Linked DNA regions of Callithrix jacchus. The protein of the gene in region 2 interacts with the protein of the main gene of each other region in a biochemical or structural test. Links are inferred from orthologs where the notes say so. Each region holds a gene or a part of one and is shown on either strand. Other genes may lie near its edges. The genes, in order: RNPS1 and PNN.

Region 1 (4,001 bases), on a different chromosome or scaffold from region 2:
AACGGGGCTAGGGAGTGGGCCTTTGTACTGTCTGGGGTGAGGTCTTGGTCCGACCACTGGGAGCACCGGGCAGTGAGGTCCCAAGCAGTGTTCAGTGGTCTCAACTTTGGTTCTTAAGATGTTAAGCATTTAAGATTCTTCCTTGTGTCCCAAACCAATTTCTGAGGTGGAGAAATGGCCCCCTGATGGAGGAGGAAGCAAGCCTGGCATGGCGACGCAAGCCTGGCATGGCGACACATGCCTGTAATCCCAGTGACTCAGGACCAAGGGGCAACACAGCAACACCCCGTTGCTACGAAATATTTACCCCCCTCCCCACACACACTCTCTTCATGTTTCCGGTCGGGTAGAAGTTCCAGCTTCAGAGAAGGTAATAAAACACCTCATTCTCCTGTTTGTCCACCATAGGGGCAACCTAATACCCACAGCACACAAACCCTAGGTTCTCCTGCCTGAAAGCACTGGAGGTGCCACTGTGGATCACGAGTAACAGAAAGCTACCAAGGGGGCGAGGGAGCAGTGAGAAGGCAGTGAACCCAGTACTAGACCTGCATTCCACTCCTGCATTTATTTAACACAATTCTTCCGCTCTACACAACAAAGTACAAACACAGTGTCATCTAAAATGCTACAAAGTTTTAAAACTCAAACAAATTTTATAGTACTGACTGTACAATAAAAGCAAAAAAAAAAAAAAAAAAAAGCAATGTACATGTTGCCAAGATAACCTGAAGGGCAGGCACAGCGGGGGCTGCATGGTGACCCAGCAAAGCTGGCTCTCAACTCACTCATCAGTTTCACAGTAGGGCGATGGGGTGGGGTGTGTGCATGGGTGCAGACAGAGAGAACCATGCACAGCGACTACCGTGGGTGAGAGGCTCTCCAGGGCTGTGTGACCCTGTGTCAGAAGAGGCCTTGAGAGGCCAGGCCTAACAGGCTTGGCAGCTGCGCTAAAGCCCAGGACAGCTCCCTTTTCAAAAGGACACTGTGGGAAATGTGTGCTCCCAGGCAGGCAGATCACACAACTCCCCCAGAGCCTCACTCATCCCTGGTGGCTCTGTCACTGAACTGACTCTCAGAAACTGAAAATGGGTGAGCTTTCTAGCCAGAAACTCGGCGGGTATCTTGGCAGGCACAACACACACCAACGGCACTTCTGCAGCCAGAGCCCAGTCGGCAGAGGGGTGCTGCCTGCTGCCTGCAATGCCTGCCCAAGTGAGGGGGTTTGCTTTCCTACTGATCTTCCTTTGGCTAGAAAAGTGACAAAACTGAGCTGGGTGGGGTATAAGTTACAGGGGTGAGAGATCCAGTGGCATGCTTAACGGGAGGAGTTGGAGCTGGAGCGGCTCCTGTGGCGGCGGCGGCCTGGGGAGCGTGATCGCCGACGCACAGGGGACCTGCGCCTTGGGGAGCGGGATCTGCAGGAAGAGGAGAAACCACATCAGAGGAGTTCAGACTGTAGGGCAAGCTAGCTTCTTTCTGGGCAATTCTCCACAGTTTTACTTTTTGGTACTAGAAGTTGGGACAGGTCCCACCTGATGGGCCTGCCCCTGAGCTCTTGGGAATGGGTGCTCATGAGACCCAAGGCAGAAGCCCAGGCTTCCTTCCTCTTCCCCAAAGGCTGAAAGCATAGCTCACGACTGGCAAGAGAAGGCCAAACTGTGGCCTTTGGCAAGGGATTACCACCCCCACCTCCCACCAACTCCTCTGACACCCAACTTCCTCCTCTCCTAGCCCTTCTTGTTAGCTCAGAAAAAAGTGGGCCTGCACCTGGGCTCACAGGTCTAACGGTCTCCTGGGAAGGCCACGTCATGCCACGTCACTGCTCAGACTTAGAAAGTTGTGTTGGTGCACGCTAGGGCCTCTCCTGCCTGCTGCTCACTGCAGCCGTGCCCGTCCTGCTTTCCCCATGAGCTCTGAAGGGCTACTACTCTCTGCTACCCCTAACCCACACAGCAGCAGAAGGCAGGCAGGGCTGAATAAAGGGTCCCTAAGTCACTGCGGTCACATGAGGTTTGTGGCCTGATCAGTTCACTGAAACTACACTTTGTTTACCTTCTCCTCATCCGTGGGGGAGACCTGCGCCACATGGGTGGTGGCGGCAGCATTCTCCTGGGAGGGCTGAATCGCCTGGGGGGTGGTCTAGGCCAGGGTGCCAGCACAGCGGTGGCAGTGATCTCCTGGCCATCAATTTGTCCTGTTGAAAAAGAGAGCAAGTCATAAAATATCTAGCAAGCATCTCCCTACACAAAGCATGTCACAGTGAACAACAGGCCTGGGGGACAATGACTAATCACAGAAATAACGTCATGAGTACCATGTCATGAGGAAAGGCGTCAGGGAACATGAAAGGAGACACCGATGGTGTCAAGGCATCCTCCCACATCTAAACTGACGCAGGCCAAGAGCTAAAGAACGTGCTGGAGGTCAGGCGCAGTGCTCAGCCCTGTAATCCCAGCACCGAAAGGCTGAGGCGGGCAAATCACAAGGTCAGGAGTTCCACACCAGCCAATATGGTGAAACCCCTTCTCCACTAAAAATTCAAAAAATTAGCGAGGTGTGGTGGTGCACGTCTGTAATTGCAGCTACTTGCGGGGCTGAGAATGTCTTGAACCTGGGGCAGACGTTGCAGTGAGCTGAGATCACACCACTGCACTCCAGCCTGGGTAACAGAGTGAGAGAGTTTGTCTCAAAAAAAAGGAAGAAAAAGTGCTGAAATCCACTAGGTGGAAGAGAAGGGATATATGCCTTGCCCTGCGCTGTGAAGGACCCACAGTGCTGTGAGAGAAGGCAGCAGCGAGAGCAAGTGACAGGCAGAAGGAAGGAGGGTCAGGGTGGGGCCTCCTCGCAGGGCATTGCAGGTGCTATCTACCTTTGCGCTACCTTCTCCTACAAAGGGGCCAGGAGAAGGGGAGACCTGGTAGCAGGGCTCTGTGGCATGAATCAACTGAGGGGCATGAATCATCATCAAATGAAATGGTAGGAAAGGGAAAGGATTCAGGGCTAACTGGGAAGTGAAGTTGCCAAGCTTGGTGGACGGGATGAGGTGGTGAGGGACAGTCAAGATGAGCTTCCATTCGTGGAGAGGTGGGACTCCAGTGGGGAGCAGCATGAAGGAAGTTTCACGAACTGTGAAACTGTGTTTGGAAACAAGCAGTCTGAGAGGCGGCTCTCTGAATGTGAACGGCACTGAAACACAGGTCATGTGCTGCAATGGGGTGGCAAGAAGTGAGGAGAAGGGCTCCAGGGAGAGAGGAAAGGAAACGGAGGTGCAAACCCAGGAACCCCAGGGCAGCATGTGTCCCAACCTCAAGAACTGTCCGGTAGCTGGGGATACCAGGAACCCAAGCGCAGCCCCTTCTGTGCCCTAAAGGGTGAAGGGCTCTTTTGTCTTCTCAGTTCCCACCTTCAAGGCACCTTCAAAGTGCATGGGGTACTAACTTGGGCACGTAGATACATATTCAGAACATACTTAAGAGGTTTAACTTCAATAAACTCAGCCTAAGTTAGCCCAAATTAGGGATTTCACAGCACTGACTCTAGAATGAAGAAAAATCTGTCTTCTGTCTAGCTACCAGTGAAGGCCAACCCCTGCTCATTTTCTCTTGGACACAGCGTGGACTCACTCCATTCAATGACAGTACGGGGACACACACAAAAATCCTAGCAGAATCTTAAGAAAAGCTGGAATGTCTATAGTCATGCCCACCTATAAGATACCCGGATCCCCTTGGTTTTTAGCTCAGCAAGTGCTCAGACTGTCAAAATAGCAGAAAATCAGCAGACTCCAAAGCAAAGGTGTGGCTCCCAAGGCCGAAAGCTGAGGTGAGTACACAGAGCTCCCAGCCTATTTCAGGACTGAAGTAACTTGAAAGAGAAGTTACTCAAGTGTCAAGGAAACCTTCCTGATGTGTAAACTCTACCAGAGCTCAAAGGCAATTACTGAAAAAAACAGGTAAGCTATTTATAAAGTTTTTAACAGGGCCTCAGAGGACACAAGG
Region 2 (4,423 bases):
GGAGTGTAATGGCGCAATCTCGGCTCACCGCAACCTCCGCCTTCTGGGTTCAGGCAATTCTCCTGCCTCAGCCTCCCGAGTAGCTGGGATTACAGGCATGCGCCACCATGCCCAGCTAATTTTTTGTATTTTTAGTAGAGTCGGGGTTTCATCATGTTGACCAGGATGGTCTCGATCTCTTGACCTCGTGATCCACCCGCCTCGGCCTCCCAAAGTGCTGGGATTACAGACTTGAGGCACCGCGCCCAGCCTAGGCCTGATCTTAACCAGCTCTAGGCCAGGTGAAGAGGCTAACTCAATTATGACTGCCTGTCTGTCTTCCCACTCCCCATTGCTTTCTTTTCAGATGCTCAGGGTCTAATCAGAGACTAATTCTCAACTGGTGTGACCCAGAGACAGTTACATTATCTCATAATTTCCTTATCAGTAGTAACAGGCATTTTAGTCTCACTTTTAGTTTGTGAGGAATAAGGCATGTAGAAGGTTTCACAGAGGGTCTGAAACAAAACCAACTCCTAACAAATGTTAGCCATTATGATTAATATTTTTCCTAGTTTTTATTTTTGTCTTCCCTCTGCTCAATTTAACCTAATCAGGCCGGGAGTGGTAGCTCAGGCCTGTAATCTCAGCACTTTGGGAGGTCAAGGCGGGCGAAGATCACCGGAGGTCGGGAATGCGAGACCAGTTTGACTTAACAGGGAGAAACTCCGTCTCTACTAAAAATACAAAATTAGCAGGACGTGGTGGCGAATGCCTGTAATCCCAGCTACTCGGGAGGCTGAGGCAGAAGAATCACTTGAACCTGGGAGGCGCAGGTTGCAGTGAGCCGAGACAGCGCCATCGCACTCCAGCCTGGGCGACAGAGCAAGATTCCGTCTGAAAAAAAGAAAACCTAACGGAGAAAAGCACGCGCCCGCCCCCTCTCTGAGCATGCGCACCAACAGAATAGCCGCGCCCTTCCCTAATTAAATCATTAACCAAGGTGAGGGGAAGGAGGAAAAGGAGGCTTGGCTGAGTCCTCCCATGGTGTGATTAGGTTAAAACGAAGTAAGGTACATTACATCATAGGTTAAAATGCGTGGAAAACTCCGCGCTCCCCTTGCCAGAACTGCATGCTCGCGAGCCCAAGTCTCCGAGAACTCAGGGATTGTCAAACCCGCCCCGGCTCTGCGCTAGCGGCGAGATTCAGGCATCGGCAGCTAACTGGGGAGGGAGATTACTGCCTAGCCGACTTTTCATTGGCCCAGAGTCACAAAGGTTGCCGTTTCTCCCCCTTCCGGTCGCTGAGTGGTTGAGGCCGAAAAACAACGCTCATCGTCATTGGCTGATCCGGGCTGTCAGTCCTTTCTCGTCTCGGCGGCGCGGCACAGCCCGGCGCGGCCTGTAGAGCAGTCGCAAGTCTGCTGCAGGGAGAAGATGGCGGTCGCAGTGAGAACTTTGCAGGAACAGCTAGAAAAGGCCAAAGAGAGCCTTAAGAACGTGGATGAGAATATTCGCAAGCTCACCGGGCGGGATCCAAATGACGTGAGGTAAGAGCCTAACGGGAACTTGGACTCGAAGACGCAGCCCAGGTCGGGGTGAATTGGGGGTGGGGAAGGAGGCCAGTCTTCAGAAGATTGGAACCTCGAGGCCTGTTCGCTGTGCGGCGGTAGAACCCTGTACTCGCTGAGGTGGAGAGGCCCCAGGCCCCACAGGAGAGCCCTGGTCTCCGGTCCTTGAGGAAGGAGAGCGAGACCAGGGTGCGTCGGCATGTTTTCTCTGCCTGTGAGAAGATCTGGACTGCTGATTCCCGCCCTCGGCCCTGCAGGCCCGGAACTGCAGCACAAAGCCCCTTACCGCTCCGGCGTACACCCAGCCCGGGGCTGGCCCCGAGACCCTGCCAGGACGCGACTTGCCGTCTCACCCCTGCCTCATGCCCACGTGCAGCTTGTTCCGGGATGGCGGGATGGGGACCTGATCCAGGGTTGTTAATGTGAGGGGGCATTGAGGTGAATATAATTTCTGTGATACGGGTCCTGGAGAAACGAGGAAGTTAAATGAAATGGTACTTTTTGTCCTGTTTCAGACACTTGGATTTATTTGAAACTATCTTTCTGGAACTTTCGTGATTTTCTCCTTAGGATCCACATCTCTGAAAGTATGTGGTGCAACCAGATATGTCTACATAGGATCTTGTACTGATTTGTAAATCTCTTACAGGCCCATCCAAGCCAGATTGCTGGCCCTTTCTGGTCCTGGTGGAGGTAGAGGACGTGGTAGTTTATTACTGAGGTAAGATTTCCCTTGGACTTTACTCATGCTGAAACTATTGGTACTTTTCTATACTAAAGATACTGCTTTGAACAAAACTTGTGATAAAGTCAATAACCCAGTGTTTGTCTTTGTTCTGTTTAATGCTTGTGACAGATTAGTTTTCTTTGTAAATAAATATAGTTACCCTGAAAAACTAGAAGTTGAAGAATATATTAAGTGTACCAGTTTTGTGTGAACTTAATTCTTATAGTTTAAAGTAACACTATAAAAGCATTTTGGAATGAATGCCCATTGTTAGTTGGAAAGATTTTTAAAAGTTCATACCATATTCTCTTGTCAAATGGAAATACCATTTATCTTGTATTTCAAGTGCTTTATGTTGAACATTTTTAATTTCAGGCGTGGATTCTCCGATAGTGGAGGAGGACCCCCAGCCAAACAGAGAGACCTTGAAGGGGCAGTCAGTAGGTAGGTTTTTAAAAAAAAGATTCCTGAAGGCCTCTTTAGTTTTTGAGGTAGCACACACATAAAAATATTTGTTAAAATAATAATGTTGTTTGAGCAGTATTAGAATTGAGTAGCATACCACTTTCCCCCCAAGTTCTCTTGGTATTTGCCTGAACTGAGACAGCCAGTATCCCTCAAAACACAGTTCTGCACGCATGATAACCCAGATTTTATCAAAATAAAGGTCATGTGAAAATTAAAATTGGAAAGAATGTCAGTTAGTACCATTTTTTCTGACTTGTACTTGAAAATTTTAACCAGCTTGAAATAGTTAAAAAAGACAGGAGAACAAAGTTGTTTTGGGCATTAATTTACATATTTTATCTTATCTCTGCTGGATGAAAGAATAAAATGGGGTGGAGGCTTAATAGAACAAAGCTTCTGGAAACTAATCCTAGAAATAGAGGACATTTGCCCTTGGTGGGCAGTTACATAAATACTTCAGTGGTCATTTAAATTAATTTTTGGCCAGGCACAGTGGCTCATGTCTATAAGCCCAGCACTTGGGGAGGCCAAAGCTGGCAGATTGCTTGAGCTGAGGAGTTCAAGACCGACCTGGGCACATGGTGAAATCTCATCCCTACAATAAGTACAGAAACGTTGGCCATGCATGCTGGCTCCTGCCTGTATAGTCCCAGCTACTTGGGAGGCTGAGACGAGAGGAACACCTGAGCCCAGGAGGTCGAGGCCACAGTGAGCCATGATGGCGCTACTGTACTTCACCTTGGGTGATATAGTGAAATCCTGTCTCAAAAAAATTAATTTTTTCTAAAATAGGCTGGGCGGGGAGCGTCGGACCAGAAGAGAATCACGCCAGGAAAGTGACCCAGAGGATGATGATGTTAAAAAGGTATTGAAATTGAAAGGACTTAAATGAATATGGTACTTTCACTTTATTACATTTAAAAGCATACCACCCGTATTCTAGTTAAATTACTGAGATTTTCTTTTTCTGCAGCCAGCATTGCAGTCTTCAGTTGTAGCTACCTCCAAAGAGCGCACACGTAGAGACCTTATCCAGGATCAAAATATGGATGAAAAGGGAAAGCAAAGGTATCCTTCTGGGGGAAAAAATACTGTGGAATAATGTAGTTATAAGAAAAATCAAGGGATTGTTCAAGTGCCCTGTAGTATTTCTTAGAAAATGATGGGTTTAAATGAAATAGATTATGTTGACGTTAAATTTTTTTATTCTGTTCTTTAGGAACCGGCGAATATTTGGCTTGTTGATGGGTACCCTTCAAAAATTTAAACAAGAATCCACTGTCGCTACAGAAAGGGTATTTATCCAGGTTTTGTTTTATATCATATATTGAAGTTGTCAGAGTAGTAGATTAACATTTTTTGAAAAAAGCCTCAAAGCTCTTTAGAGACTTAATTGTGGCTCAGCATGGTGACTCATGCCTCTATTCCCAGCACTTTGGAGGCCGAATTGGGTGGATCACGAGGTCAGGAGTTTGAGACCAGTCAGTCAGCATGGTGAGACCCTGTCTCTACTACTAAAAATACAAAAAATTAGCAGTGCATGGTGGCAGGTGCCTGAATCCCAGCTACTCAGGAGGCTGAGGCAGGAGAATTGTTTGAACTCAGGAGGCGGAGATTGCAGTGAGCCAAAATGGCGCCATTGCATTCCAGCCTGGGCTATGGGGTGAAACTCCATCTC

Evidence for each region.
Region 1: the proteins of PNN (region 2) and RNPS1 form a complex in vitro, tested with the Homo sapiens proteins (3 studies listed by BioGRID and IntAct). The link is inferred for Callithrix jacchus from reciprocal best matches to the Homo sapiens genes PNN and RNPS1.

What each region holds. Positions count from the first base shown.
Region 1 is NC_133513.1:4,512,656-4,516,656, reverse strand, and holds the end of RNPS1 (RNA-binding protein with serine-rich domain 1), read right to left. Parts: intron 3,826-4,001; exon of another isoform or gene 2,219-3,825; intron 2,198-2,218; coding exon 2,056-2,197; intron 1,419-2,055; coding exon 1,319-1,418; 3' UTR 550-1,318; downstream 1-549. UniProt on the Homo sapiens protein: Part of pre- and post-splicing multiprotein mRNP complexes. Auxiliary component of the splicing-dependent multiprotein exon junction complex (EJC) deposited at splice junction on mRNAs.
Region 2 is NC_133509.1:73,851,903-73,856,325, forward strand, and holds the start of PNN (pinin), read left to right. Parts: upstream 1-1,390; 5' UTR 1,391-1,416; coding exon 1,417-1,529; intron 1,530-2,199; coding exon 2,200-2,271; intron 2,272-2,652; coding exon 2,653-2,721; intron 2,722-3,537; coding exon 3,538-3,610; intron 3,611-3,718; coding exon 3,719-3,813; intron 3,814-3,964; coding exon 3,965-4,040; intron 4,041-4,423. UniProt on the Homo sapiens protein: Transcriptional activator binding to the E-box 1 core sequence of the E-cadherin promoter gene; the core-binding sequence is 5'CAGGTG-3'. Capable of reversing CTBP1-mediated transcription repression.